Linked DNA regions of Kluyveromyces lactis. The protein of the gene in region 4 purifies or fractionates together with the protein of the main gene of each other region. This does not show direct contact. Links are inferred from orthologs where the notes say so. Each region holds a gene or a part of one and is shown on either strand. Other genes may lie near its edges.

Evidence for each region.
Region 1: the proteins of MEX67 (region 4) and NUP133 purify together in Saccharomyces cerevisiae (affinity purification with mass spectrometry; 3 studies listed by BioGRID). This does not show direct contact. The link is inferred for Kluyveromyces lactis from reciprocal best matches to the Saccharomyces cerevisiae genes MEX67 and NUP133.
Region 2: the proteins of MEX67 (region 4) and NAB2 purify together in Saccharomyces cerevisiae (affinity purification with western blotting; 6 studies listed by BioGRID, with this or other methods). This does not show direct contact. The link is inferred for Kluyveromyces lactis from reciprocal best matches to the Saccharomyces cerevisiae genes MEX67 and NAB2.
Region 3: the proteins of MEX67 (region 4) and NUP159 purify together in Saccharomyces cerevisiae (affinity purification with mass spectrometry; 3 studies listed by BioGRID, with this or other methods). This does not show direct contact. The link is inferred for Kluyveromyces lactis from reciprocal best matches to the Saccharomyces cerevisiae genes MEX67 and NUP159.
Region 5: the proteins of MEX67 (region 4) and NUP170 purify together in Saccharomyces cerevisiae (affinity purification with mass spectrometry; 3 studies listed by BioGRID). This does not show direct contact. The link is inferred for Kluyveromyces lactis from reciprocal best matches to the Saccharomyces cerevisiae genes MEX67 and NUP170.
Region 6: the proteins of MEX67 (region 4) and SAC3 purify together in Saccharomyces cerevisiae (affinity purification with western blotting; 3 studies listed by BioGRID, with this or other methods). This does not show direct contact. The link is inferred for Kluyveromyces lactis from reciprocal best matches to the Saccharomyces cerevisiae genes MEX67 and SAC3.
Region 7: the proteins of MEX67 (region 4) and MLP2 purify together in Saccharomyces cerevisiae (affinity purification with mass spectrometry; 5 studies listed by BioGRID, with this or other methods). This does not show direct contact. The link is inferred for Kluyveromyces lactis from reciprocal best matches to the Saccharomyces cerevisiae genes MEX67 and MLP1.

Annotation. Positions count from the first base shown.
Region 1 is NC_006037.1:703,054-707,128, forward strand, and holds the start of NUP133 (Nup133p), read right to left. Parts: upstream 2,801-4,075; coding exon 1-2,800. Other genes in the region: rRNA-binding ribosome biosynthesis protein RPF2, read left to right, coding at 3,236-4,075. UniProt on the Saccharomyces cerevisiae protein: Functions as a component of the nuclear pore complex (NPC).
Region 2 is NC_006042.1:904,012-907,451, forward strand, and holds NAB2 (mRNA-binding protein NAB2), read right to left. Parts: upstream 2,070-3,440; coding exon 501-2,069; downstream 1-500. Other genes in the region: KLLA0_F09867g (uncharacterized protein), read right to left, coding at 2,630-3,440. UniProt on the Saccharomyces cerevisiae protein: RNA-binding protein involved in RNA processing and transcription regulation. Acts as a regulator of mRNA stability: binds the poly(A) tail of mRNAs and pre-mRNAs, preventing their degradation by the exosome.
Region 3 is NC_006042.1:330,428-334,636, forward strand, and holds the start of NUP159 (FG-nucleoporin NUP159), read right to left. Parts: upstream 2,801-4,209; coding exon 1-2,800. Other genes in the region: porin POR1, read right to left, coding at 3,414-4,209. UniProt on the Saccharomyces cerevisiae protein: Functions as a component of the nuclear pore complex (NPC).
Region 4 is NC_006039.1:845,802-849,567, reverse strand, and holds MEX67 (Mex67p), read left to right. Parts: upstream 1-1,499; coding exon 1,500-3,266; downstream 3,267-3,766. Other genes in the region: protein-transporting protein SEC63, read right to left, coding at 1-927; OSW1 (Osw1p), read left to right, coding at 3,589-3,766. UniProt on the Saccharomyces cerevisiae protein: Involved in the export of mRNA from the nucleus to the cytoplasm.
Region 5 is NC_006041.1:1,832,305-1,836,529, forward strand, and holds the start of NUP170 (Nup170p), read right to left. Parts: upstream 2,801-4,225; coding exon 1-2,800. Other genes in the region: KLLA0_E20637g (uncharacterized protein), read left to right, coding at 3,439-4,225. UniProt on the Saccharomyces cerevisiae protein: Functions as a component of the nuclear pore complex (NPC).
Region 6 is NC_006040.1:1,418,083-1,422,347, forward strand, and holds the start of SAC3 (Sac3p), read left to right. Parts: upstream 1-1,465; coding exon 1,466-4,265. Other genes in the region: HOM2 (aspartate-semialdehyde dehydrogenase), read left to right, coding at 1-107; RKM5 (S-adenosylmethionine-dependent methyltransferase), read left to right, coding at 301-1,269.
Region 7 is NC_006037.1:55,751-59,957, forward strand, and holds the start of MLP2 (Mlp2p), read right to left. Parts: upstream 2,801-4,207; coding exon 1-2,800. Other genes in the region: RPL40A (ubiquitin-60S ribosomal protein L40 fusion protein), read left to right, coding at 3,430-3,437, 3,977-4,207. UniProt on the Saccharomyces cerevisiae protein: Together with the closely related MLP2, involved in the structural and functional organization of perinuclear chromatin. Together with MLP2, associates with the nuclear pore complex and form filamentous structures along the nuclear periphery.

The DNA.
Region 1 (4,075 bases), on a different chromosome or scaffold from region 4:
GATAGGTGGTAAAGTCTTTGAATAGTGGGTTGAGAGTTGATTCTTGTAGTTCTTGGGATAGAAGAATTTGCCCATCGATGAGATCTAATTCGGTTTGAATTTCGTTTAGCTTTTCAAGATCTTGAACTTCCGCGGCAAGAGCTGTTAATTTGGCAATACTCAATTGTGCCTGTCTTTGTTTCAAATCTTGACCCAGCGATTGAGTTCCAGTAGAAATACTCAACAAAGTTGTAGTTGCTTCGTCGTATTTATGGCAATATATGTTTCCAATCCATTTAACTTTGCCATACTCGGGACATTCTCCTAAGAACTGGTCCAAATATTCTGAATGGGTTTCACCAAACGATTCGTAAAGATCATCCCATAGCCCTTCCTTGATATAGTAGGAAAATAAGGATTTTGCAAAGTCGTATCCGTATTTCTGGAAGAATTCATCGTATAGAGAGAATGCGGTAATTTTTGGCAGAGATTGCAAAGTTTCAACTAAGCCTTCAAAGTCTTGGTAAAAATCTGTGATTAGAATTGAATCCTGAGACCTGTTAACATCCCTAAGGACCCTATTCCAAAGTAAATGATTTTCTTCGAAAAACTGTTTATAACTAGAATCAGTAATGGCATTTGCATCAATCCACATGGTTATTTGCCTGACCATATAAAATAGAGACTTAACCAATAGCAGTAATTCCTCTACAAATTCTGACACAACGGCAAGATCTTCAGAGGCATGCCTTAACAAGAAGAAGATGTCATTAAGATTTTCTATTATGCTATTTGTTGTGAACCAAGGGATATTTTTTGATACATCATCTGGGCTCATCTGGAAAAGTCCATACCTGTAGCTGTTTTCACATTCTTCTAATATGGAATGATAAACTAGTTGATTTATAAGCTTTGCGATCTGAGATTTTAACATAGTTTCATTTGTGGATTTCATTAGGTCTTTCAAATGCTTCAAAAAGGCGCCCAATAATTCTGGAATCTTAACAATGCCGTCTGAGATAAAATCAGAATCCGATTGATAGGAACTTTCTGATAGTACTGTCTTCCAAGCTTGTGAAATAGATGTTGGTTGTTGCGGTAGTAAAGAGTACAAGCTTTCCAAACATTTTATCATTTCAAAATCAGAAATCAAGTCCAGTTTGAATTGGGAAGATGTTTGATCCAAAAAATTATGAGCAACAAATGTGAGAAGTCTTTCAAAAAGTTCGCTTCTTATTTTTAAGTGTTTCATGGGGTTGTTAGCAACAGGCGGTATGTGGTTTGATAATGCATATTTAATCTCATCACTGGACATTTGAATATCTGTTTCAATTTCTTGTGGTTGTAGATCTAGATTGTCAGGTAAGTTGAAGTCTAGTAATGAATCCGTTGATTGTCCTCCAAAATAGACGTATTGATCCACATGAGACTTTATGAATCTAATTTCTTGGAAGTCAGAGTTTTCGTATTTTTCAAAAGTCTCCAACTTTAACGCACATGTTCTTCCATCAGTAATGTATAAGGAACTTGAATTACAATCGTACCCAAGAACTTTCATATCTTTGTTAAACCGTATAATGTCCTCCCATTTCCTTTTAAATGGATAATTAGAGTCCAATTTGGAACTTGTTTGAGTTAGGACAGCAGCATCAGAGAATAAAGTGTAAACAGACGTTATCGGTAAATGTTCCTTGGTGTATGCAGTTGGGACTATAAGTCTTGGGGCAAATTCATCTGATAATGGTCGCGTGTATGTGTTTAATCTGTAAGTAGAGAAGATAGCGAAACTGTTAGTATCTTCATCCACAATGATGGTTGATAGTAAATAGTGCGTTTCGTTACTTTCCGCTAAGAAACTCAAGAACAAGTATGCATCCGAGTCTCCTGATAAAGGATGACAATCGAGTAGTTTCAGTGTAGATGTTGCCAAGGGGAAATGCTCTAAGACTGCCTGTGAAATTTCAGACTGTACATTTAAATCGATCTTTTTGTAACAATTCCCAACAGATGAAAGGTTCCACACCTGATATCGCCCGCCCTGGGTTAAAATAGAAACTATTCTTTCTCCTTTACCGCTGATTTCGCCCAATTTGAGAGATACCACTCTCTTTGATTTGGACATGGATGAAAAGATTCCGACTTGACATTTTATTATGGTTTGTTTTAGCGATACAAAAGGTTTCCCGTTAGCATCTCTTATAGTACAAAACTCAACACGCCCGTAATTTGTCGAAAGTAATATTCCAGCTGGTTCTGCATTAATCAAATTCTCTACATATTCACCGTCACGTAGTTTTAAAACTGATTTATGACGTTTGGTTTGCGTCAAGAAACTTGCCACTTGACTCACAGTATCAACATCTTCATAGAATTGAATGTCACCGGATCTACTGTTCACTAAAAATAAGCCAGGGCTTGATTTCAAGTCACGTTCGAGCACACTAGGCCACGTAAAGCAACATAATGGAGGACGGGACCATGATTCATATTCCTCGTCATGTAATGGAATCCTTACAAAACTAGGGTGTGTTTCAGAAGATAAAAATGGCCAAACGTAAACATTATCAGTATCGCAGCATAAGGCGTACCCAGATTTTGCATCAACGCTACAACATAATTCCACATTACTGGGCAAAAAACTTAAACTTGGCGCTAACTTCGATACCTTATACTTCCCATTCTCTGTGATAACTTGTTCATTCGAAAATTGTACATTGGTGACAGCAGAACCAGTTGTCGTTTCCTCAGCAGAGATTACTGAATCCTCTGGTGCTGCTGCTGGTACACTAAGCTCTTTCCTGAGCTGAAACAATTGCTTCATCTTGTACTATCTTGACACTGAAAAAAAAAGCCAAAAGAATCACCAAATGTAAAACTTTGAAATTCTAATCTCAATTGATCCACTACCTTGTTAGCCGAACCTAGCTTGACCTTGCATTGCTGTAATTATAAAGGTAAATAGACTCTCTGATGCTCATTGTTTAAAATCTTGGTCAATGTTTCTGTTTTCATTGTCGCCAAAGAAATCGTCATAAGTGATGTCACGTGAAACATTTTCCGCCACGTGACTTTGGAATAGTTTCTTTTCACTTATCAAGTAACTTGGAAAATTAAATCTTTAAACTGGAACAAATCGATGCGATGAGCTAAATGCGATGAGCTAAGTTACAGTCTACATAGTTCATCTTTTGGCTCAGATTTCTATCCTATAAGGTGTAATTGTTGTGATTTGTATCAAGACACCGTAAACACCAGGATGATCAGAACAGTAAAGCCTAAGAATGCCCGTGCTAAAAGGGCTTTGGATAAAAAAGAAGCAAAATTGGTTGAGAATGTAAAGCAAGCTTTATTCATTCCTGGTCAAACTTCTACCAAGTTGTTGCATGATTCAATGGTTGATTTGAGTGCGTTGAAGAAGCCTGATATCAAGAGATTCTCCAAGAAGAACAACATCAGACCTTTTGAAGATTATGAACCATTAGAGTTTTTATCTGAAAAGAATGATACATCGCTTATGGTGTTGAGCACACATTCTAAGAAGAGAAGAAACAATTTGACTTTTATTCGTACGTTTGGGTATAAGATCTATGATATTATCGAGTTGCAGATTGCAGAAAACTATAAACTTTTGTCTGATTTCAGAAAACAAACTTTTAACGTTGGGTTAAAGCCAATGTTCAGTTTCCAAGGTGCAGCCTTTGAACAACATCCAGTTTACCAGCATATCAAATCATTGTTCCTTGACTTTTTCAGAGGTCAGAATACCACTTTGCAAGATGTTGCAGGTTTGCAACATATCATTTCTATCACTGTCCAAGGTGATTTCCAAGACGGTGAACCATTACCAAATGTTCTATTCAGAGTGTATCACTTGAAGACTTACAAGTCCGAACAAGGTGGTAAGAAGTTACCTAGAGTGGAATTGGAAGAGATTGGTCCAAGATTCGATTTCAAGATCGGAAGAATTCACACTCCATCTCCAGAAATGGTCAAGGAAGCCCATAAGAAACCTAGACAATTGGAAGTCAGAGTTGCTAAGAACGTTGAGATCGATACTATGGGTGATAAGATCGGTAGAGTGCATGTGGGTAAGCAA
Region 2 (3,440 bases), on a different chromosome or scaffold from region 4:
ATATATTGTTGACATTTTACCAATTGTTCCTCTTCTCTTCACAAGCTACATATCATATATATTCACACTCATTATAATTGACCTTAACCCTTTAGGATCGATCATAATAAATGATCAATATACGTGACAAACTAACTAAGGGAAACTATATGACTGTCCTATACACTTCGTAGCAAGAAAAACCAGAGAAAAAGACATATGGTAAAAAAAAGAGATAGTGATAAAATCAAGGTAAAAGGGATTTCTCTTATATGACCATTAGAGTACAGGTCAAGATACGCCAATCATATTAATAGGCTTCTGGAATTTAAACACTGCCAGTCTCTTTTTTACAGTAGTCTTTCTTCCGGTTGACCTTTTTTTTTTATTACTTTACAGTATTTTTTTACCTTTTAAGACTTTTTTTTTTTTTAATAATTAATAGATATAACACTATAATAATAATTCAAATAAAACAGTTAAGGATATCACCATTAAATAGAGCGGAGTAGATTGGAATGTTAACTCATCATCATAGCATCGCCATCTACTTCTTGTCCAGCATGAACTGACTGTACGTTAGATTCTGGTACAGCAAATGGTCTCTCGTTACTCGAGGAATTTCCACTTCCAATCAGCTGCGGATTGAACCAAATACCGTTGGTGTTTTCTGTATCAGGCTTTTTTGGCTTTTCAGGCAATACCCTTTCTGGAGGATGCTGGAATAAACATCCGTATGTTCTACATTCAGCCCCGTACCTACAAGGTTCATTGATAGGGTGACCGAAGAGGCAGTCTATTCTTGTACATTGCGCACCCTCGCGGCACATGATTGACGACCTTGCGTGTCTCTTTGGACAATTTTTATTGGTACATTTTGGACCAAACTTACATTGTTCCAAAATCTTTTCTTCCAATGGGACAACCGATCTTGGCGCGAATTTTGGATTAGAAGGTTTAGAAATGACCGGTTTTGGTGCTGGCTTGTGTATGATTGGTTTTATTTCCTTAATCTTGGATAAGGAACTGTGAGCCTTGTTACAGGTCGGATCAGTGCATTGCAAGTTGTTCTCGCACCAACTGAATTGGGTAACCTTTGCGTCTTCATTTGCAGGAGTTGGATGACCAAATGGACATTTTTGATTAGAACAAATGATCCCAAATTTACATACAACAATACCACTGATCCTTTGCTGTTGTTTCTTTTCCATCTCTTCCCTCTTTATCCTGCGTTCTTCTCTTACACGCTCTAGTTCTTGTATTAATTGTCCATCTTCATTTGGATGTAAATAAGTGCATGTACCTGGTGGATTTTTACAGTTTGGATAACTTGGACACGTAACGGTTGGATGTCCACGAGGGCACTTCCTTCCTAGAGAACAGTGAGGGAAATCAGGACAACGGCCTTCTCTCTTGATGACAACATGGCCAGATGTTTCATTTGCGCCTTCCGATTCATTTATTCCAAGAGCCATCGCCAGTTGGTTAGCACCGTATCTCGAGTTAACTCCACGTCTATTGGTAACACCAGCACTCTTTGAAATTCCACCTCTAATGGAGCTGAAACCACCACGTCTAGAAGTCCCATTATGGGCCGATGAATCTTTGTTACGTTGCGAAGACCTCCCTTCGTTAGCCGTATTATATTTAGATGCAGACACATCTACTACCCCGCTAAATGCAGAAACCGGTGCACTTGGAGCTGGAGCAGAAACGGGTGGTGACTGTACTGGTACTCCTACAGATGTTTCGGTTCCAGTTGACACAGGTGCAGAAGGTGCACTTGAAGAAGGTTGAGATGAATTACCACTCAACTTTGCATAAACGGTGTTCAAGTCATCGCCTGCTTTCAACAGATCTGCAGATGTAAATGCAATGGAGACAACACTCTGGAACTCTTGCGTACTAATACCATCAAACAAACTTGTCAATTCTTGTACGATATCAGGACCGCTGGAACCGTTGGACATTAAAAGTGTAATATACTCAGCGACTTGGTTAACATCTTCGTTGAAATTAGGAACAACCTTTAATCTCTCGGAGATGACAGTCTTTAAATTGCTGGCAATATATTCAGGTACAGTTGACATGTTGCTACTCTTGGTTTGTGTCCTCTTTAGTTTGATCAAGCAACAAAACTAGCTTTTATCCTTGTTCAAATAACTGCTAAAGAATCATTCAGATTATTCGTAATTAATTTCGTTTTAAGTATATGTAATCTTGTTCTTCCTTTTCTTGTACCAGCCCGAAACAATTTTTTTTTTGGCTCTGTATACGGAATATCGTAGAATATTACGCAGAAGGTTGAGTGGAGAAAAAGAAATCAGAACGATGTCCTCTGCTATCCGAGCTATCACGTGATTCGTTGTTAACTCCTGTATTATATGTTAGTTGCTATATGATAGTGACAGTGAATAGACCCTGTTCCAGTTTTAGGTAGAGACCTGGATCAGTGGTTGATGAGCATTAGAAATCTTTCTCATATTTATAAAACTGCTAGTAGCTTTCTCTAGGGAAGTATTCATTATTTAGAGGAGTTAATTATTGGGTTTCCATGTGGAAATGCAGAATGATTCTATGCTATAATTTATTTATTCGTGATGAGATGCAATGCATATAACAAATTCCGTCGAAATTTCTTACTTCATATCTATTCTTTAGAAAGGTATTCTTTAGAAGTGTCTCGTAGTTTTGTCTTCTTGTCTTTCATGTAATTTATTACATTGTTAAATGTTATGGTCGTAATGCTTTTAATAAGTTCCTCGTATTCCTCGTTGATCTTGGTAACTGCTTCCGACTTTTCCTGCAATTCTATCTGGAATTGTTCATAAGTGAAAGGTTGCAACGATCGTTGGTATAAATTCGGATGGCGTTCACAAAGGTCGGCAAATAGATGAAGAGACTGCAAAAGAAGACTTGCTAATGTGAGGTGTAGAGAGTAATCCCCAAGACTTCTCTTATTAGATACCGACAGGTTGTACATTTCCGGATAAATAGTTATCACTTCGTTAATAATATCGATAGCATACGCTGAAAGGATATTGAGTCTTATGGCTAATCCATCCAAAGTTTCATCCCTAAGTGCTTCCTTTATCTTCTCTACTCCCTCAGTTAAATCACCTGCAAGAATTTGGTATGCAGAGAGTACAATAGGAAGTATTTGCACTTCTAACTCTTTAGCCCATCTGTTTATATTTCTTCTTGTAGCCAAAAGATCATCGGATGCCTTGGAAAACAATTCGTCATCATGCTCAAGACGTCTTCTTTCTGAGTCTATTCGCATGAAGGCGAATATAAATTCGCTGCTGATTTGCTCCGCAAAAGTAATTTCTCGCGACATAAAATGTGCAAATCCTAAATAAAACTTTCCAAGATCTATTACATCGTTCTTCCCATCATACATCACCAAAAAAGGATACTTCTTCCTCAATAATTCTGTTAGTTTCTCGCTATCCAGATGG
Region 3 (4,209 bases), on a different chromosome or scaffold from region 4:
GCGCTTGCTGCTCCTTCTCCTCTTCCTCTCCCTCCTCCTTTTCTTCTTCTTCTTCTCCTTCTTCTTCTTCTTCTTCTTCTTCTTCTTCTTCTTCTTCTTCTTCTTCTTCTTCTTCTTCTTCTTCTTCTTCTTCTTCTTGCCCATCTTTGGTCTCCACTTTTGCTTGTTCTTCGTTGCTTTGCTCAGCTTCATCCTCTTCTATGTCACTGTTTGAGTTCAAAACAGTTGAAGAAGGTTTTGAAGAGGCTTCGATGTGTATATCAGATCTATCATTATCATATATTTCCCTGTCCTCTCCGTATAAGGAATCACTTTCATCGGTAGAGGATACAATGTTAGATTCGATATCGTCTTGATCTTCTGAAATGCTCGAATCATTAGCTGGACTAGGCACTTCAGATTGATCGTTTTCGATCGTCGAATCGCTGACTTCTTTCGAATTCAAAGAATCTTGAGTGACGGATGGCAAACTGTGGTTAGCTTCTGATATAGATTCACCGAAACCAGTAAAGTTGAACGACTTAGTGTCTTCTTTTTTAGAATTCAAGTGGCCGAATGGATCAGAAGTCTGAGTTTCGAATGGATTTATGGTCTTTTGGTCTGTAGCAAAGGCAGAAAATGGTGAAGACAATTTCGCAGATGTAGCGAATGAATTCGGTGCAGGGTTGGTAACAGCGCTGTCGCTGCCAAACTGAGAAGTTCCAAAGAGCGATTTTCCAAAAGACGACTCTGATGAAATTTTTGTGTTGGTTCCGAATGGAGAGGTAACATTAGCTCCTTGTATTCCGAAAGATGTGGAGCCAAAACTTGGCGTTCCAAAGACAGATGACGTCTCTGCCTCTTCGGACAAGGGTGAAGTGGTATTAGTTTGAGATTGGGTACCAAATGATGTACTTCCAAATGTTGGTTTGCCAAACGCTGGTTTACTGGGCGCCGATTGGTCAGATACAGGTTGGCCGAATGCTGGTTGTCCGAATGCTGGTTGTCCAGACGTTGGTTGACTAGATGCAGGTTTACCGAAAGTTGGTGGACCGAATGCTGCTTGGCCGAATGCTGATTGTCCAGATGTTGGTTGACTAGATGCCGGTTTCCCAAACGCTGGCTCCCCGAATGCTGGTTGACCGAATGCTGGTTGACCGACTGCTGATTGTCCAGATGTTGGTTGACTAGATGCCGGTTTCCCAAACGCTGGCTCCCCGAATGCTGGTTGACCGAATGCTGATTGTCCAGACGTTGGTTGACTAGATACAGGTTTGCCGAAAGTTGGTAGACCGAATGCTGGTTGACCGAATGCTGATTGGCCAGGTGTTGCTTGGCTAGATGTTACTTGGCCAAATGTTGCTTGGCCAAAGGCAGGTTTTCCAAATGCAGGAGATGAACCAGATGACAGCAAAGGATTTTGAGAGCCCTCAGACTCAGCATTTGTACTATCCGTCATGTTCTTCGGAGTGAACGAAAAACCTTTAGCGAAGGAATTTGTAGTTTCAAAAAATGACGATTGTTCAGGAACCTTTCTTACTTCAGTTATTGTGTTCTTAGTGTCTTGGGGAGAAATTAAAGTAACTTTTTCCTTTTCCATTGAAGAAGAACCACTTTCTATTTTATGAGATAAGATTTCGAAAGACTGTACATACTGAGTTTTGGTTGGTTCTAGCGTGAAACTCGAGTTTTGTAAAGCAGAGTGATGGAATAAAGCCCAACAAAATAGTTCCCCAAGATTGGTGAGGACATATAATATCGGTAGATTGTCAGCAGCCTCTACTCCGGAACAAGGCTCATACACAGTACCACTGGAAAATACATCTAGGGCCATCCCAATGGGTTGTGTATCATTATCTGTTTCAGGGTTGATTGGAAGAATTGCACAAGCAGCATCTTGGTCCGGTTTATACATCACGTTCGGTGTGGCAATCGATAGCTCTGATGCACACGATGATCCTATAACGAATAGATGTGGTAGCTGCTGAGCGAGTTGATACAATGTTTGAGAGTAGTATGAAGGATTTCTTTTGACTGTTGAATAGGGAGGCGCGATATCCATGGAAGGAGTAAAAGATTTAGTATTGACATTGACAAAATATACGGTTAAATCGTACATGATATCTTCTTCCGAGGCATCGACCGGTTCGCCGTACGATACGAGTAAACTGCTTTCTGACAAAGCGTTTATGGACAACGGTTCGTTAGGTTCATCGAGAGATGGCTTTTCAATAGAGGATGTGACGTTAAACTGTTCATCCAGTACAGCTATAGAACCATTTTTGTGTAAAACATAAAGTTGATGTTTCAAAGTGTCAATTGCGATGCAACCTGTGATTGAATGTAACTGTTCGGAAGAATGCTTTTGCGATAAGGATATTTTAAACACGACATTAGCGTTACTCGCAAGAAGTACATTCCCTTGGAAAATTACAGAACAAATGACTTCATTGACACCATTACCGTCCCAGTATTGTTCCCAGGCGAATTGGTCCAATTCGGTAACCCATACTGAACCATCTTCTAGGACCGTAGCCAAACTCTCTGCCACAAAAAAAACGCCCACTACTTTCGCCGTGAACTCTTTCGTATTTAGAGTGATGAAGGACTCATCACGGACAGATTGCAGATCATATACAGACACAGTCTTGGAAGAAGCAACAGCTAGTAATTTTTTCAACGGATGTATGGAAGCATTAGCCAGTTTTGAGAATGGCAAATCCTCATTGAAGCCTGGAACAATTTGTTTAGAGAATAAAAACTTGAATCCCAAGCTCTCAGTAGTTTCAACATTCAACGCATCAACCACAGAGGACGTCATTGATTCTGTATGTGTTCTTTTATCTGTGCCGACAGTAGTAGTTTCAATCCGTTAGTGTATTAATATAAACCTCAGCTGCTTATTAATTTGTAAACCTTGAATTTCAATGGGCATCAGTTGCAATGTTCAGTGCTTGTACAGGTTTGAAGCTTTTTGATGATAGCTTTGAAGTAAACAAAGTTCCAAAAAGAAGGAAATTATCAATCACGTGATCCGGAAATCAGTATGAGGTTAGTGTTCATGTTTTATTGTCTTTACTATGACATGAATGTTTTGAGATATAAAATTTTTTAGATGGTCATTAAAGAATACGTATTTAGTTAGGTAAGTATCTTCGAAAGAAGTAGGCGTTAACATTGTAATTGAGGCCATATCTGTAATGAAAACAAAGCGGATATTGTTGTTCTGAAAAAAAAGCGAACAAAATGAAAGGCAATATATATATATATCGGTATCAAATGGAACGCCAAGAAGAATGATACTTTAGTTGAATGTGAATCATTTCAAAATTGATAACCTAGGCTGGTGATCCATTGGACAAAGCAAAATAACATAAACTTAGAAAAAAGTAACACTTCTTTTTAACACTTGTGTAAAATTACTAAGTATGCATTTAAGCAGCGAACGATAGAGACCAACCCAACTTGTGGACTGGTTCAGCCAACTTCAAAGCGTCGAAAGAAGCACCAATACCTAGAGTGACACCTGGTCTCAATATTTGTTGGTAGGACAAGGCGACGATACCGGAGTCAGCAACCTTAGCCTTAACTTGAGAAACGGCGTCCAAAGCGTACTTGGAAGCGAATTCAATGTTGACATTAGAGCCAGCTTGAGGGTTCAAAGCAGCCTTAGCACCGACTTGCAAGATTGGGGAAACCTTTTGGAAGAAGGAAGCGGTGATCAATTGAGCGTTGTTGACGGACAAACCAACGGAATAAGCACCAGAAGCGTTGTAACCCAAAGCCAAAGCGTAACGGGAGACGGCACCAGCAGAGATGTCATAACCAACTTCAGCACCACCAACGAAACCTTCGTGAGCCAAGGTCAAGTCACCGACGAAGGATGGACCCTTCAACAAATCGAAGAAACCTCTAGCAGCAAACAAAGGTTGAACAAAGTTAACGTTCAACTTAGCAGCCTTAGAGACACCTGGAACACCAGAAGTGATCAATTCAGTCTTCAAGCCTGGAGTCAATTCAGCCAATTCGATCTTGGTGTCCAAAGTGTTGGCGTTGTTCCAACCTTGGGTGAAAGTCAAACCAGTAGACTTGTCAGAGGCCTTAACTTCAACGTTAGCAGCAATTGAGCCATCTTTTGGAGAAGTTTTACCCTTAACAGTGAAAGCAACACCGTTTGGAGCAGTGGTCTTAACGTCAACAGAAGCTGGGGTAGCGTGGAAGAATTCCTTG
Region 4 (3,766 bases):
ATAGTTCCTTGCATATTCGTTTTCAGTCTTTTCACGGTTAACATGGGAATGGATAATGTTAGCGATGTCCACGGAAGACAATTCTGGGAATTTCAATTGGAATTCTTTTGCTTCAGAGATCCATTTAATGATTAAGTCTGGCACAACAACATAAGATGGTTTGAAGTTGAACATTTTGTCAACGAAGTGAGATGCTGTTTCAGAATGAATACCGTGTTTTGTGTACTCTTGCGAAGTGCTCCACCATTTAGAAACTACCATGGGTAACACAAACGCAAGTAGAATGAAATATGCAAAAACAACAAATGGGGAAGTACCTCCTTCCACCAAGAACTTGGGCAAAGCGATACCGTGAGAAGTAGATTGAGGACCATCTGGATGACCATACTTTCTATAATTTTCCTTCGTAATTTCATCAGTTAAAGCCTTATAAGCCTTGTTAATCATCACGAACTGTTCCTCCATAGCCGTTCTTTCAATCTCATTTAGGTCCTTGGAAAGCTTATCGGGATGGAATTTGACAGATAATTTCCTGTATGCAGACTTGATCTCTTTATCGGTAGACGAAAGCGTCACACCAAGTAACTCATATGGATCAAAAGCCGCTGCTGCAATCTGATAGATAGCATCGTTGGAACGAATATGATAAATCAACATCGAAATGAGCACCCAACCAACGGTAATGAAGTAAATTCCCTTCTTGGACCTTTTCTTCTTATTAGCAAGTCTATATTTCCGAACTTCTTCTGAAGTATATTTTTCGTGCAATTGACTCCATTCTGATGAAGAACTCTTATCGCTGGAGTCCCCAACAATCAATCTATACAGCTCAATCAATGTTACCGGTGTAACAGCCACAAATAACACCGTGAGTACGAAAAATGGCCATGTGGTGCTTGCCTCATCGTAATCATAATTCTGCGGCATGGCGTCGTTGTCTGTTCGTCTGCTTGTCTGTTGTAGAACCAAAAGACTGCCAATAAATTAAGCCGCTACAATAAAACACACAGCAGGCAGCAATCAAAAAAAGTGAACCACAGTGTACTATTAAACAAAAAAGCCTTCAAACTGCAAACAATTATTCCTCTGATCTAGAAAAGTAGTTAACAGTTAACTTATTTCGATTTTAATATGCCAGTCTGTATTTTCCAAAAACCTTTGGGTTTTTTTCCTTCTGTTTGAAACACTATACGTATTCAATACGGCAGAGCTTAGAAGAACAAATAGAAGAGAAAGACCAAAAAAAAAAAAGATATTTATACGTCACGTGCTCGTAATATATCACATGACCTTGAATTTTCTGTTTCGATTTGGTCGATCATCTCTTTCTACTAAACTGAAGAATAAAATTAAAAAAAAAAATGCTAAAAACCTAGAAATAATCAAAAAATGTGCTAGTCTCATTGGTAATTGAGATGGGAATAGAGATTGAAAGATGAGGCTCACCGGGTTAACCGATTTGGTTGAGAAAAGTCTTGTGATATAGCGTTACTAGAGTGATGCAAGTTAGTGGTTTTGGTAACGTGAATCAGATTGGTGCTTTGGCACAGCAAAACCAATTGGATAACTTAGTCAGCGTTAGCATTCGTGGATGGACTAACGCTACTCAACAGGATTTGTTGAATTTCATTTCGAGAAAGACCAGGATCTCAGTGAGAAACTCTGTGGTTCAAGGGGACACTATAGTTGGTTATGTGACACCGCAGGAGGCAGATCAATTGGTGAAATTTAGTGGGTACCGGTTTGCAGGCAATTCATTGAAGATTCACAAGGCAGCCGGTGGGAACACAAACCCTAATACGAATGATACGATAACCGTTCTTCGTAATGTGCTTTTGAGAAGATATAATGTGCAAACGAGGATGTTGGATCTTGGTAATTTGTTCAATGATCCGGAGTTGGTGCAACGCGGTATGGCTCCGAAAAATGTTAATACGCAGTCCAAGATGTTCCCGGCTATGATGAAAGTGGCTTCAAAGGAGCCTAGCATGGTTGTTGAATCGATCAACCTATCTGATAATAATTTGAGAGACGTCAATGGTGTTACCACGTTGGCACAGACTTTCCCTCATTTGAAAAACCTATGCATCGCCAATAATAGTATTAGTCGATTCCATTCTCTTGAAGTTTGGAAGAATAAATTCAAAGAGTTGAGGGAGCTTCTGATGATGAATAATCCAATTACATCGGATCGTTTATATCGTACAGAAATGTTAAGGATATTCCCCAAATTGGTGATTCTAGATAACGTTGTCGTTCGTGACGAGCAGAAACTACTGTCTATCTATAGCTTACCGGTACAACAAACCCAGTTCTTTTTCGAAGATAATGGATTGGCATCATCGTCAACAGATTTTATTACCAACTTCTTGAACTTGTGGGATTCGAATAGAATGCAATTGATGGGTTTGTACACTCCACAGTCTCAATTTTCCTTAAGTGTTGATTCTTCCGTTCCAGCTGCTACTGTACCTAATGCTCAAACGACTCCTACATTCGGTCATTACTTACCATTTTCAAGAAACATTTCCAAGATATCTAGCGACAAGACCATCCAAGAACGGTTACGTATAGGGCCCGAAGCAATTTATGAAGTGTTCGGATCTCTCCCTATGACAAAACATTTTTTGCAAGAACAACCTGATGCTTACTCTGTGCAAGCCTGGACCTTCCCACAAGTTCAAGGGTTTGTTATCACTCTTCATGGCCATTTCGATGAAACTGCCAAACCTGAAATTGACAAGAGCAAAACATCACAAGGATCATCTGCCTCTAGAGGAAGGAGATACAACCATGGATTTACGTCTACGCCGAACATCAAACTTTCACAGAAATCCTTCGATAGAACAATGGTCTTAGTTCCAAGTCCAAATGGTAGTGTCATCATTGCATCTGATTCGTTGACGATAAGGCCATTCTGTGATAGCGCTTGGTCTAAACCACCTTCTCCACCACATCTCCAAGCTCAATCTGTGCAACATCAGCCACAAATGAACGTGCCCCTCTCACAAACTCCGCCAAATACATCATCCATTCCTGGCCAAATCCCGGGAGTTCTTGGATCGACACCTTTGCAATTCTCACCGGAAGTGCAAGCAAAATTGTCACCTGTACAATTAGAACTACTTCAGAAGTTACACCTTGAAACAAAGCTTAACGCTGAGTACACTTATATGCTTGCCGAGCAAAGTCTTTGGAACTATGATAATGCTATCCAAGGATTTAGAAACAGTGCAAACAATCTACCCAGAGAGGCATTCATCTAAAAGTATTGAGCTAATCATGTGCGCTTCTTTAAAAAAGAACATCTTAATTCATTCAGTATAATATATAGTTGCATCTCACACAAATAAATTAAACTAAGTATATCCATCTATTTATATCAGTTGGATTCAAGGTGACTTGACTCTGTGACTATTTTTTATCATATATCCTGTTTGTCACAAAGTGTACGTCAATAAAAAAAGGGCCTAACATTCAGAACATTATACTAGCCAATGAACTCTTAAGCAAATTACAAATTGTGATTATAAGCTCACTACAGTTTTGCTGAAAACTCACTATTCCAAGGCAATATAACTACATTAAATGAGATCGATACCAGAACCTCGCCAATCAAAATATAATCGATTTAGAAGGTTATTTAATAAGGTGCATAATTGTGTCACTTTGAAAAGATTGAAAAGGCGATGGAACCTACACAAGTTGAAGAAGAGCTCAAGGAATACAAATCAGAGATCTGCAATCCCAATAGACCGTATTGCTA
Region 5 (4,225 bases), on a different chromosome or scaffold from region 4:
TGTTGATGATTGAGGAGAGAATCTCTCTTATTAAATTTTTGGTTTGTTCATTGGGATTGAAAATATCCTTGAATTTCAACTTGCTTAAGTCGTATTGAATATCGAAATTCAAGTACTTCATAATGTCAACAAATGCTAAGTATTGCCCTTCGTAACCATCTACTTCACTCTCTTCGAATAGTACGTTCAAAAATGAAAGTGACTCCTTTATGGATTGAAGGAGTTTGATAACTGCGTTCATAGCAACATTTTCTGCCTGATGCGCAACATCTTCTCCTTTATCCACCACCTTTTCTCCATTAATTGGAGAAATATTAGTGATTGTTGTAATTGAATTACCATATGATTGGAAGAACTCGTTTAAAATCATTACTGAGGATAGATAATATTCGATATCACCTCTTGATACAACGATTTTTGTAATAATATTATCACCTTTAATTGAACTCTTCATCACTGAATTATCCGGATTAATTTTTACATGGGGATCGAGTTGGAAAATATCTTTATCCCATATGTCTCTAAATAATCTGGCAATCAACAGAGCGGTACCGTAGAATCTAGCGGACAAGATGACATCATCAAGGTTGAAATTATTTGCACCAGATACATTTGGTGTCGAAAGAGTATTGGCAGTTTTGCTTAATTCAGTAGAGCTTTTTTGTGGGGTCATCAAATTCAGTGATGGTTTACCTAGTAGTGTTGATACCGCACTGTTCGCGTATTTGTTGTATGTTGGTTTGATTTCCACAACATTAGGTATACCTACAGTGAAAAGAGTTAACGCATTGGATCTCAAAGACTCTGACTTATTGAATTTACAAGTGACAAATAAAGCAGATGAGCAGGTTTCGACTAACCCATAATTTACAATGAAGGGCAGCGGGTTGTTAATTAAGGACTCCAAGATCTGGTCTGGGTTACGGTATTTATAGATTTCCACAGATGTATTTGTTAAAACGGCAACCTTCAATGGTTCTACACTGTACTGAGTTGCAAAAGCATTGGCATAGCCCTCTGGCTTATTGGCACCGTTGAACAAAGAGGATATGGGGATAACTTCTCTTACTGGGGCGGTGGTATCCAAAAATACAGAATTTTCGACGTAGCGACCGTGATTCTTCAAAATACCATAATCTGGTACACTGACAAAGAGCTTATGTTGTATTGGAGTGTTTTGAACAGTTGCTACAGGTGTTCCCATAGTTCCCAATGTTTGTTCCGCTGGATGTTTTGTAACAGCAGAAAAGAAAATGCCAGGTGAAATAATTGACGAAGCTTTCGAGCTTTCAAGTAACACTGACGATTTTTTCTGGTATTTCAACTGTACAGATTCCATACTGTTGAGGGAAGAATAGAAGGGTGTAAGTTTTCTAGTTTGTTGCTGCTGCTGCTGTTGTAACTCAATTTCTATGGTTTCTGGACTGACAGAACTTGGTGGGAACTTGATGGATTCTAATCTTAAAGCTTCTACGCTACCAGAATTAACAGAACCATTGAAATATAACCTAACACCGCCAATTGTGATAGCTACCAAAAATAAATTGTTATTCTCTTCTTTCGAAACCACCTCTACTTTAACTATTTTCAAATATTTGTTACCCAAGATAGCAGCTCCTCTAGCCGGAGTCGTTCCCATGATACGTTTAATATAAGAGGGTTCGATTGTAGTTGGTCCATCTAAGGATTTACCATTAATCTTATAAGCTCGGATGACTGATTTTGATGATAATGAGTACAAAATACCACGCGATTGGTCTACAGTCAAATGTGTAATGTATTCTTGTGCATACTTTGAATCTTCTTCAAATAAAGATTGTACAAGTGCCGAGCCTGGAATCTTGGAGAAAATATTTGTGGGGAGTAAACTCAAAAGAGCAGACTGTGTCAAACAAAGTTTGCTGCATTTATTGTTAAACCAATCTTCTGAAGATGAATATTGAAGTTCCCAAATGTTGGTCCCATTGCTGTTACCAGAAAAGAAGATTTGTCCTGTTTTCTCATAATAAACGATTTCATGTACATCCAATCCATGAACAGAAACGCTCATCCCTGTGTTGAAGATATTGAACGAGCCGCTGATTCTGTCATAAGAAATTGCGAGTATGTATATGTCAAAAGGAGTTGTTATCAATAACAAGTGGTTGATTGATTCCACGAATGTATCAGGTTTCGGTTTCACTAGGGCAACTTGTAATATGGTATGCTTGATGTCATCTATTGATTGGAAATCTGAAGGGTTATTATAATGCCAGAGGATCAACTTGCTATCAACAGTGATCCAACAACGTTCAATATCGGGAAATAAACCCATATTTGTTTTGATTTCAGCAGTAGATACTTGCTGCAAAATTTCATCTGGTATGTTAATCACATTAAGTCTTTCAAACGGAGTAAATGGGCCTAATCCACCAACTTCCTTGGAAAAATTGTAGTTAACCCCATTATTGTAGTACGATCTTTCATCCAGTACCGGGGTACTAATGTCACGACGCAACAAATGATCAATGTATTGAGAGGCAAGATTCAGAGGATTTGCAGCACCAAGACCCGTTACCTTAATATGCTCATGTGAAGCATTAAAGTTCAGTGGGTTTACTGTGTTGCCGTTTAAACCTGAAATTACGTTTGTCATATTAGCACCGTACGTTCCTATAGTACCGTCTGATCCTTGTTGTTGAGGCACCAAAGAGGTATTGCCAATTCCATTCATCGGTAGCCCGTTGACATTGGCAGACGGGTTGGCAAAGTTTGCATTGCCATTCCAATTGCTTTTCAACGGCGTAGAATATATTGACATCTGTCCTGTCTTGCCGATACACTGTTAGCTCAAGTCTATACCCTATTTCCGAAATTCAAAAAAGACAAGTACACAGATACAGTAAAGCAAAATTTTATGCTGAGCAATCAGTTAACCAATTGGACAAAGTGCCCTTAGAGAAACATAACTGTTAGACCTGGTTCTGCAAGGTAGATTTAGAACATCATCTTTATTTGTTTATTCAGAGAACCAAAGAAAAAAATTTGAAAATGATTACCCGGAACTGGTGATCTAAACTGGAACATGATAGTGAACTCATAAAGGCCAACAATACCATTACAGTTCGACAGATCAACTTTATTCTAGTTGCAAAGCATTCAGTTTCTTGATTTCACCCATAAGAAACATCCAGTGTATGTTTTCATGTGATACGTGACGATATATATTAGTATTAGCAACTATGGGTACTTTATCATGTTCATTTATTTTGACACTTTTGTGACAAAATGTCAATAAATTGGTACTATAGGTAATGGAATATAAAAGATGATACCAGAAACCTTGGGTCCTGATTATAAGTTCAAAATTAAGTAAATTATCAATTAAATCTCCTGCTTTGAAAAGTACTACCCGGCAATTTTCCTATAGAAAAGCGTTCGCTCAAACAGAAGGCAAAAATGGTCGGAAAGCTTAGAAGAAAGATCCCATTGGATAACCAAGATGTTAATACCCAGCCGGCGAAAAGGATGTGCTTAAAAAAAAATATCCTATTGGAAGATTTGAATAAGGAGAATATTCCGATTGAAATACCTTACTTAAACGAAAGCCCTCAATCAGCTAGCAGCAGCCTTACAGGGGTTTTGAACTTACATCTCGAAAAACAATCTCCACAACGCAAAAGGCTGTCCACCAATATAGAGACGGACACTGTGTTAGATACGAAAAAGCAAGAAGTTTTGACTTCTTTAAAGTTAGAAGAATTACAAGATAATTTTAAGGACCTTGAAAGAAGATTAAGCATTCAAAATCGTGATTATTTCATCAAAGACGCTCACTATTCAGATGAAGATTTGACGAAGTGTAGAACTAATTTTTTGTTTGAATTGGAATGCTTACCAAACTTGAGCTGGTCTCAAAAAGGTAACCTTCGAACTGCTAGCTATATTCCGTCAGTGTACCAAAAGTTGGACCCAAATTGGTATTTTTCACAGGCGTTTTCAATTGATGATTTTACCAACTTGCCTGAATCAGTTAAGCCATTCTATATATTAAACCCAATGAATGAAGTACCAGAGTGCAATAACCAACAAATTGAACCAGTTGGACCGGAAAAGGCAACTGTGCATATTGAAAACATCGAACCTCTTTCTAAAATGATACCCAGCTCCAAATTAAAATTCCGTGCTAAGTCGTGTGCTTTTGATGAAGATATTGATTGCCAACTGTTGTTTAAGCAGAAAATTT
Region 6 (4,265 bases), on a different chromosome or scaffold from region 4:
CTGTATTGGACTTCAAAATGGTTGTATTGTCCCACAACACCGTTATCGGTGCTGCAGGTGCAGGTATCTTGATTGCCGAAATTCTATTAGCCAAGAACATCATCTAAACGCAAAATGATAATTCTTCCTGAAGCAAATTTGAAAGGCAGTTTCTAGTGCTCCGAATATTTTTGTTTCTTTCACGTAATCATGTATAACCAGATAAAATGTAATTCATAATTCATATTTCGTTACAGAATACCTACAATGGGCACTAATCCATTTCAGCGCAGAGCTTACTAAGATGACGATCTGTTTATCATGGAATTAGTACTGCTCGATGAAGAGACTTTATATGAGTACATTTTCGAACGATATGTGGAATTAGAGGCTAACGCAAACGATTTATCTCAAGATCTCGGTATTCTGTCGAGAAACGAATCAGAATTAGAGATAGACATTGGGCCACATCGCCTAGTGACCAGGAAAAAAAAAGCACCAGAAAGAGATGAGTATACATTTAGTATACACCAAAACCTAACCTCTTTAAATTCCAACCGTGATAATAATAACTCGACGACTGGATACGTCATTTGGACCACGTCTACTTTTATTCTCAAATGGTTATTATACAATGACAACGCTACCATATTCACAAGAGGGGGTGTAAAGGATGAGGTAGATATTACATCCATTTTTCAATGTCAGCAAGATGATAAACTACGATATGTCCTTGAACTGGGCACTGGAACATCACCAATGTTTCCTATTGTTTTCTCTAATTACGTTGATAAATATGTGGCCACTGATCAAAAGGACATCTTGCCTCGATTAAAAGATAACATCCAAGAAAACCAGTCAGAGTGTAGACGGAGACTGCTTAAATCCAACACAATTGCTTTAGATGATCTTAAGAGACGTACTGAGTTGGAATGTCAGATTGACATAGCGCTGTTAGATTGGGAACTGTTCTCAGGTAGCAAGAAATCTAGAAACGATCCCGTTCTTCAATGCGGACCGAACTTCCATCTGACTATAATCGCAATGGATGTAATATACAACGAATACTTAATTGTACCATTTTTAACCACTCTTGAGTCGTTATTCGTCTGGTATACCGAACAACGTGTAACGGTATCGGCATTGATCGGAATTCAACTTAGAACTCAAGATGTACTTGAAATGTTCCTCGAAGAGGCTATCATAGAGAGACAATTCATAGTGCACGCCGTCGATGAAAAAGAACTTAACAAGTCACGTTTCATACTCTTACACGTAAATTTGCCCTAGTTCATATACACTAGGAGGGCTTCTCTCTCTATAGATACCTTAATGCAGTTCTTCTGAACATACTGCCGTAGCATTAATTTTTAGCATTTGAAGATATAATGAAATACAAAGAATCATAACCCAAGTAAACTATTAACCATTATATAGATGTTGAGTTGAAAACAACTCCTGCACCAGTAGGCCGTGCATTGTAGCCATGTTAGGGTCAATGTTTGGGGGTTCCTCCATACCACCGTCTGCTGCACCCTTTAGTATGCATGATAGCTCTAGATCATCTAGTAATCATGCGGAGAAACGCAAATTTAAGAGGCCTAATGGTAAATCTAGCAAGACTACATCCAACAATGGCTCTAAGGGGAAGCTAATAAAGAAAATGGTACCAACTTTGAGTCAGGATCAAAATGAAATCATTGGCACACTTTTTGATGGAAATCCAGCGATACTTGGGTTTCAACAGCCGACAAAACCAGCCGAGAGAGAACTACCGAGATATCTCATAAGACAGGCACCCATCTTGAAACCTGTACCGATAGTTCAAGACGAATGGGATAAAAAAAACCAGGAACGCATGCTTCAACTGGAAGACAACATATCTGATGTGACTACACTCTGGGAAACATTGAAGAAGATGAGAGACGAAGAAAGAGAAGTAATGGAAGAGAAAGGACTCGTTGACAAAGCAGATCAGGCGAAAGATCTTACTGAAGCAATCATTTTCCAAGGTACGTGTCAAGATATGTGTCCAATCTTTGAGAGAGCTAGAAGAAGTGTTGAAAACAATGTCGTGAGGTATGAAAAAGCTAATCCAAGTGATAAAAAAGTTGATAGAGGTAAAGCCTTAAAGGTATTCGCTAGACCTGCAGCTGCAGCTGCTCCACCATTACCGTCTGATGTTAGACCTCCTCATGTGTTATTGGGAACACTGGACTACATAGTAGATGAAATCGTCCCTCTACTACCAGACTGTGAAGCCTTTCTATGGGACAGGATGAGATCAATAAGACAGGACTTTACTTACCAGAATTACTCAGGACCTGAAGCCATTGATTGTAACGAGAGAATTGTAAGGATACATTTGCTAATTTTGCACCAAATGGCAAAGACAGATATTACCTTCAGTGTTCAACAGGAACTTGAACAACTACACAAGGCGATAATTACTTTATGTGAAATATACGACGAAGTAAGAGATCAAGGAGGACAATGCCCCAACGAAGCCGAATTTAGAGCGTACGCCCTTTTGAGTAAGATAAGAGATCCCGAATATGACAAGATGGCCCAGGACTTACCCAATGATATCTTCAATGACGAGCTAATGCAGTTAGCAATTACCTTCAGAAGAATTCTAGCGAACTCTAACCATGTGGAAAGAGGTGTTGTCGTAACGGAGAATTGCATGAATTTATACGACCGATTTTTTCAATTAATTCAATCTGATAAGGTACCCTTTCTAATGTCTTCATTTTTGCAGGTGTATCTCAACGAGATTAGATTTTATGCATTCAAATCTCTTTCTTTAGCGGTAACCAGAAAGGGAGGGAACTTACCATACCAATATTTTATAGAGCACTTTTTATTTCGTGATGCAAACGATTTGGAGACATTCTGCCGCTACTACTCCATAGATTTCGGTGATGGGAAGATATTATTGAAAAGTCTCACTGGAACTTCTCATTTCCTAGCAGAAACTCAGCCAATGAGAAAGAATTGGGTTTCATGCGTGGAGCAAAAATTACAGAGAAATACCACGACTGCTCTTATAAATAATCGAAAACACAATGTTGACACAATTCCTTCTAACAAGAGGTCTCTCCTGGACAACGTATCTCAACTAGAAGAATCACAGCTAACGCAATATAACCAAAACTTTGCTGGAACATCTGGTGCTAAGGAAACCCTTCCTATATCTGCAAACCGACCCTTTAGCTTCCAAACAAGTACTTCCCTAATCACAGAAAAGAATGCTACGGCCAATGGAAACCAACCGTTTATGTTTGGTACTCCGTCACAACCTAAAACTGATGTTAAAAAAGCCCCTAACGACGTGTCATTAGAAGGTGTAAAGCTCGGGCAAGCTGCACCTTTTGGAAAGACAGACGAATTTGTAAAAAAACAGGCATTACAGCAAAAACTGGAGGAACAAAAGCAAAAGTTCAACATGCAAAAGCAGTTAGACGAAAAAGCCCGACTTCTCAATGAAAAGCAAGGCTTAGAAAAACAAAATGAAGAAAAGCTGCGGAGACAGCTGGAATTAGAGAAAGTACAACAAGCAGCTATTCAAAGAAGAAATGAAATTGTCAATGAAACCAGCAGTAACATCTTTACTACTTTAATGGAGCAACAACTAGAAAAAACCATTAAAAATGAGATTCAAAAGAGACAAGCTAACGCCCTTCATATTGAAAATCTGAGCAGGGATTTATTTCGGTCATTCATACATGAACAAATATACTTCGTATTCCTTGAAGTGAGAGCCGATATATTTAAGAAAAAGATTATTACAATGCATGTAATGAAGAAATGGAGATCTAAGTTCAATAAAATACTGAAATTGAAGAAAATCAAACAACAAAAACAAGAAGAGGCTCTAAGATTGAGTAAGGAACTTGGAGTAGGAAAAAGAGTTCATTCCCTACGCTCCACTACAAAAAAAAATAAGTATCTGGACGCCAATTCCACTTTTGAAGCGTCTTCTTTCATTAAATCAGGCACAATGAATTACAGCACACCTTTACACTTGGAAGAAAATCATTTCACAACACCGGTAAGAAACAATTCAAATGTCTGGTCTCCTTTAGATTTGAAAGAAGTGTATTTTAACGAGTTGTTATCGCGGCTGCAAGGAATCTTGAAAGATAGTAAGCTTCAAAGCAAAGACATCAAATCACAAATTGACATCGTACTATATTCAAAGACCTGGGAATGTATCTCAGGCCAGTGGCTTTTAAGTAAGTTCCACCTAGCAAAGGACTCAACATACACGATAGATAGTCCGA
Region 7 (4,207 bases), on a different chromosome or scaffold from region 4:
ATTGCACGGACTGTTCCGCCAGAGTTTTATGATGCTCTATTTGTGAATATGAATCAGAAAGTTGCAAGTTAACCTTTTCCAATTCCTGTCTCAAAGTCTCAACTAGGTTTTGAGCATCATCGACATTACTTAACATCGTATATGATTGTGCCCGTGCCTCGGCCTCCTTGAGTTTTGCGGATTGTTCATTGATAGTGGATTGCATTTTCTGAAGTTGAGCTTCTTTTTCTTCTAAGGTCGTTTTCTGTTGAGCTGCCTCACTAGTTAACTTATCAATCTTTTCTTGAAACCAATTATATTGATGCTCTTTATTGCTAGCAATTCCTGTGGTGTTTTTTTCAATTTCTTCAAGGCGTTCGAGTGAACCAGACAACTCAATTTCCAATTTTCTAAGCTTTTCCTTATAAGAATTCTGAGTTTCCTTGAGTAACATTTCTCTCTCACGTTGGAGTGTCTGAAGTTGCGCAATTAACACCTTGTATTCGACACTTTCTTTGGAAAATCTTTCGTTCTCTGCCTTCAGTTCCTTTTGAACCTTTGCCATAAACTGTTTTTCAGACTTCAAGATGGATAGTTCCGATTGTATAGATGACAAAGTGGATTTCGTTTTGATTAAGGAATCTACAGTCTCCTGTGTACGTTTGTCCTGTTTTGTTAAAATATCTTGTAGATCAGATGATCTTTTTTGTAGCTCCTCACATTGGCGTTTGGAAAGCTCTAAAGTTGATTGTAATAGATTTAACCTATCTTCTGCAAGAGTACGTGAAGTTTTCTCAGATTCGAAATTAAGTGATATTTCATATAATTTCTTACGCAGGTTGCTGTTTTCTGATGACCATTCCTTGGCATTATTCTCTGCTTCTTGAATGACAGCGGTGAGTCTTGTTTCGAGATCCTTCACTTTATCGTCATTATCAGGAGAAGGGTAAGTAATGGCCTTAGGTGTGTTTGTGCCAGAGCTAGCATTTACTGACAATGCCTTGTATGCGTCCCTCTCCTTTGATAGAATGACTAGTTGGTTTTCAAGGTTCTGTGCATGATCATGAAGTGTAAGAATGGTTTCTTTTGCCTCTCTCACCGTTTCATCCTCTAATACCTGGATTTGAGATTTGTTTTCAGCTTCCCTGCGTTCTAATTCATCAGCAAGATTGCGAATTGTAGAAAGAAGTTCGGAGTTTTTCTGCTGCAACTCAACTACTGATCTAAATTCTACTAGTCGATCGGTTATAATGCCTTGAGTGTCAGAGGTCTTTGTTATTTCTTGAGAGTTGGTTAGATTTTTGACAAATTGCAATTCTTCAGCGGATAATGGTCCGCCATCCTCTGACTTAATAGATTCGTTCACGAGTAAGTACTGTATCTGATGGGCAAGGTCAACACGTTGCTTAGATAGGGAGGCTATTTGAGTCTCATAGCTTTTCACAGTAGCTTTCAAATAATCAAGTTGTGACGACTTTTGATCACGGTCTTTGCCAGTTGACTCTAACAAAATAGTAACCTCATTTAACTCTCTTTCAAGCATTTCACTTCTCTCTTTGAAGGAATTGAGAACAGGGATTTTATGCTCTAATTCAACAACGAATGCTTCCACTTGCATTTTTAACTCGTCTTTTTGTCTTTTCTCAATAACCAGCTGTTTTTTGAGCATTCCCAAATCACCATATAACTTAGGTATGACAGAAACCGATTTTTCTGAAGACGCAGTGGTATTACCAACTTCGGAGTCTTCTAATTTTATGTTGGATGTTAATTCATCGATTGTCTCCTTAAGTTTTATGCAGTTAGATTCAGATGCGTCTAAACGATATTTGACCGCATTGAGCTCTTCAATGAGCTCGTCTCTTTCTTTTTCGGTGAAATATGATGAGTCCATGTTATTCTTTGTAGCATCCATTTCTTTCTTCAATGATTCCATATGTTTCTCTAGAGCATCAATCATTCTCTGCTTTAAAGACATCTCTTTCGTAAGCTCTTGTTTAGAGAAATTGTACTCATCTTTAATTTCTTTGTTCTCGGAAAGTTTTTGCTCCAGTTGTTCATGTAAACTGTGTACCGATTGTTTTAGTTTCTGATTACTGGTTCGAGCTATTTCCAACTCTGATTCCATATTCGATACCTTTAACTGAGAATCTTGTAATTCACTAATTGTGCTTTCTCTAAACTCATTGAGTTGTACGGTCTTGGTATTTAACTGATTGGTCAACCAGTCATTGTTTTCTCTCAATAATGTGATTTCTTGTTCCATCCTTAAAATCTCGCTTTTCGAACGTAGCTCTAAGGCCTGCTGAGTTTGTAGCTCAGTTTCAGTATTGACGACTTTTTGTCTAAGTTCCTTATTCGCTCCCTGTGCTTCATTCAATTTAGCTTTGGTAGAACTGAGTTCTTCAATTTTTTCGTTTAGTGACTCTGCAATATCTTGCTTAGAAGCGTCAGCAAGTTCTTTTTGTTGCCTCTCTACTTCTATTTCTTGTTCCAATTCTATGATTCTTTTGGTCACTTGTGAATTTCCTTCAATTAGACGCCTTTTCTCTTCTTCAAAGTGTAAGCGCTCATCCTTCCCATCTTCCAATGCCTTGGCTAGTTGAGAGATGTGAATTTTGAATGATTCTAGTTTGTTCTCTGATTGAGATTTTAATTGATCCAAGGTAGCAGTTATTCTTAGGTTTTCAGATTTTTGTTTCCGAAGATCTTCCAACTTCTCCTCAATCCTACCTAAAACATCATTATTAATGTCTTGTATCAGTTGCTGGTCGACTTGTAGAAAGTCTGCGACCCTAGAGGCAATGGGTTCTACGGACATTCTCAACTCCACAACACAACAATGGAATAGCAATCTATAAGACGCTACTTTTACCTAGTGTTCAAGCTAATCGCTATGATATTCAATTAGAAGTATACTAAAAATTTCTGCAGGTATACATGAGCATATACAATGCACATAGGCTTTGTTCTTGACAGGTAATTTTTGTTCAATTTCAATATTAGGTCCAATTCGGTGAAATTCAAAATAACGACCAGATACCACGAACTGACTGCAGAACGAAATACAGAAGTCGTATCTAAACTAACAATCAGGGTAACCGGTACCAGTAAAATTCTACGTTCCAAGTTGGGACGGTTTGCAACAACATCCGTGCACTATTCAACAGTGTGTCTGGGTGTATAAATTTCGGGGCTTGACAATTAAAAATGCATATATTCCTCAAAACGGTATTTTTATTTTCTAATTGCAGAAATCACTTCGTTTTTGCTCGTTGTCGATTCCTCAGGTTCACCAACTTTCTATGTACCAAACCCAGATTGAGGAAAGCAAGCAAGAATTCATACTCAAAGTATTTTGGATTATATCATTTAATCATACGCACTTAAGATAGCTGTACTTAGTTGTTGATTACTATCAAAAAGATCAGGAAAGGACAAGATTCAAAAATGCAAATGTATGCACAATATGATAAGCAAAAGGCATCTTATTTTGGGGTTTCTTGGTGATTCAAGACGGTTTATGCTACTTTGAAATGGGACGAAAGCACATTAGCTAAAAAACAACAAGACGAACTCGGATAACAACTAATGAAAATGACAAGGATTTACTGTGTTTGGTGTAACATATATCATGATAGTCGCTATCCTGTGAGAACTTGAGCGTTTCATTTCGGAGAGTGTGAGTACGCGGTCTAAACTGTTGAGTGAGATATATGTCACGATTTCTTCAAACGAAAGCAAGTACGCTTTGCAGAATGAATAAGGATACAAGGAAGCAGTTTAATGGGACCTATCACCTCCTAACTATCAAATGCACAACAATTCATACCTACAGAGGGAATTTTTTTTGGTTTTTTATTAAGCTTTACTAATCTAGCAAAATTAACTTGAACGTTCACTAATTCTAGGAATCGTCCCAATAAGATTGCCTTAAGAACTTTGTTCTGATCGAGTTTCAAACTTTTACTAACAAATCATATCTTTTTGAAAACAGTTTCGTCAAGACCTTGACTGGTAAGACCATCACTTTGGAAGTCGAATCTTCCGACACCATTGACAATGTCAAGTCTAAGATTCAAGACAAGGAAGGTATCCCACCAGACCAACAAAGATTGATCTTTGCTGGTAAGCAATTGGAAGATGGTAGAACCTTGTCTGACTACAACATCCAAAAGGAATCCACTTTGCACTTGGTTTTGAGATTGAGAGGTGGTATCATTGAACC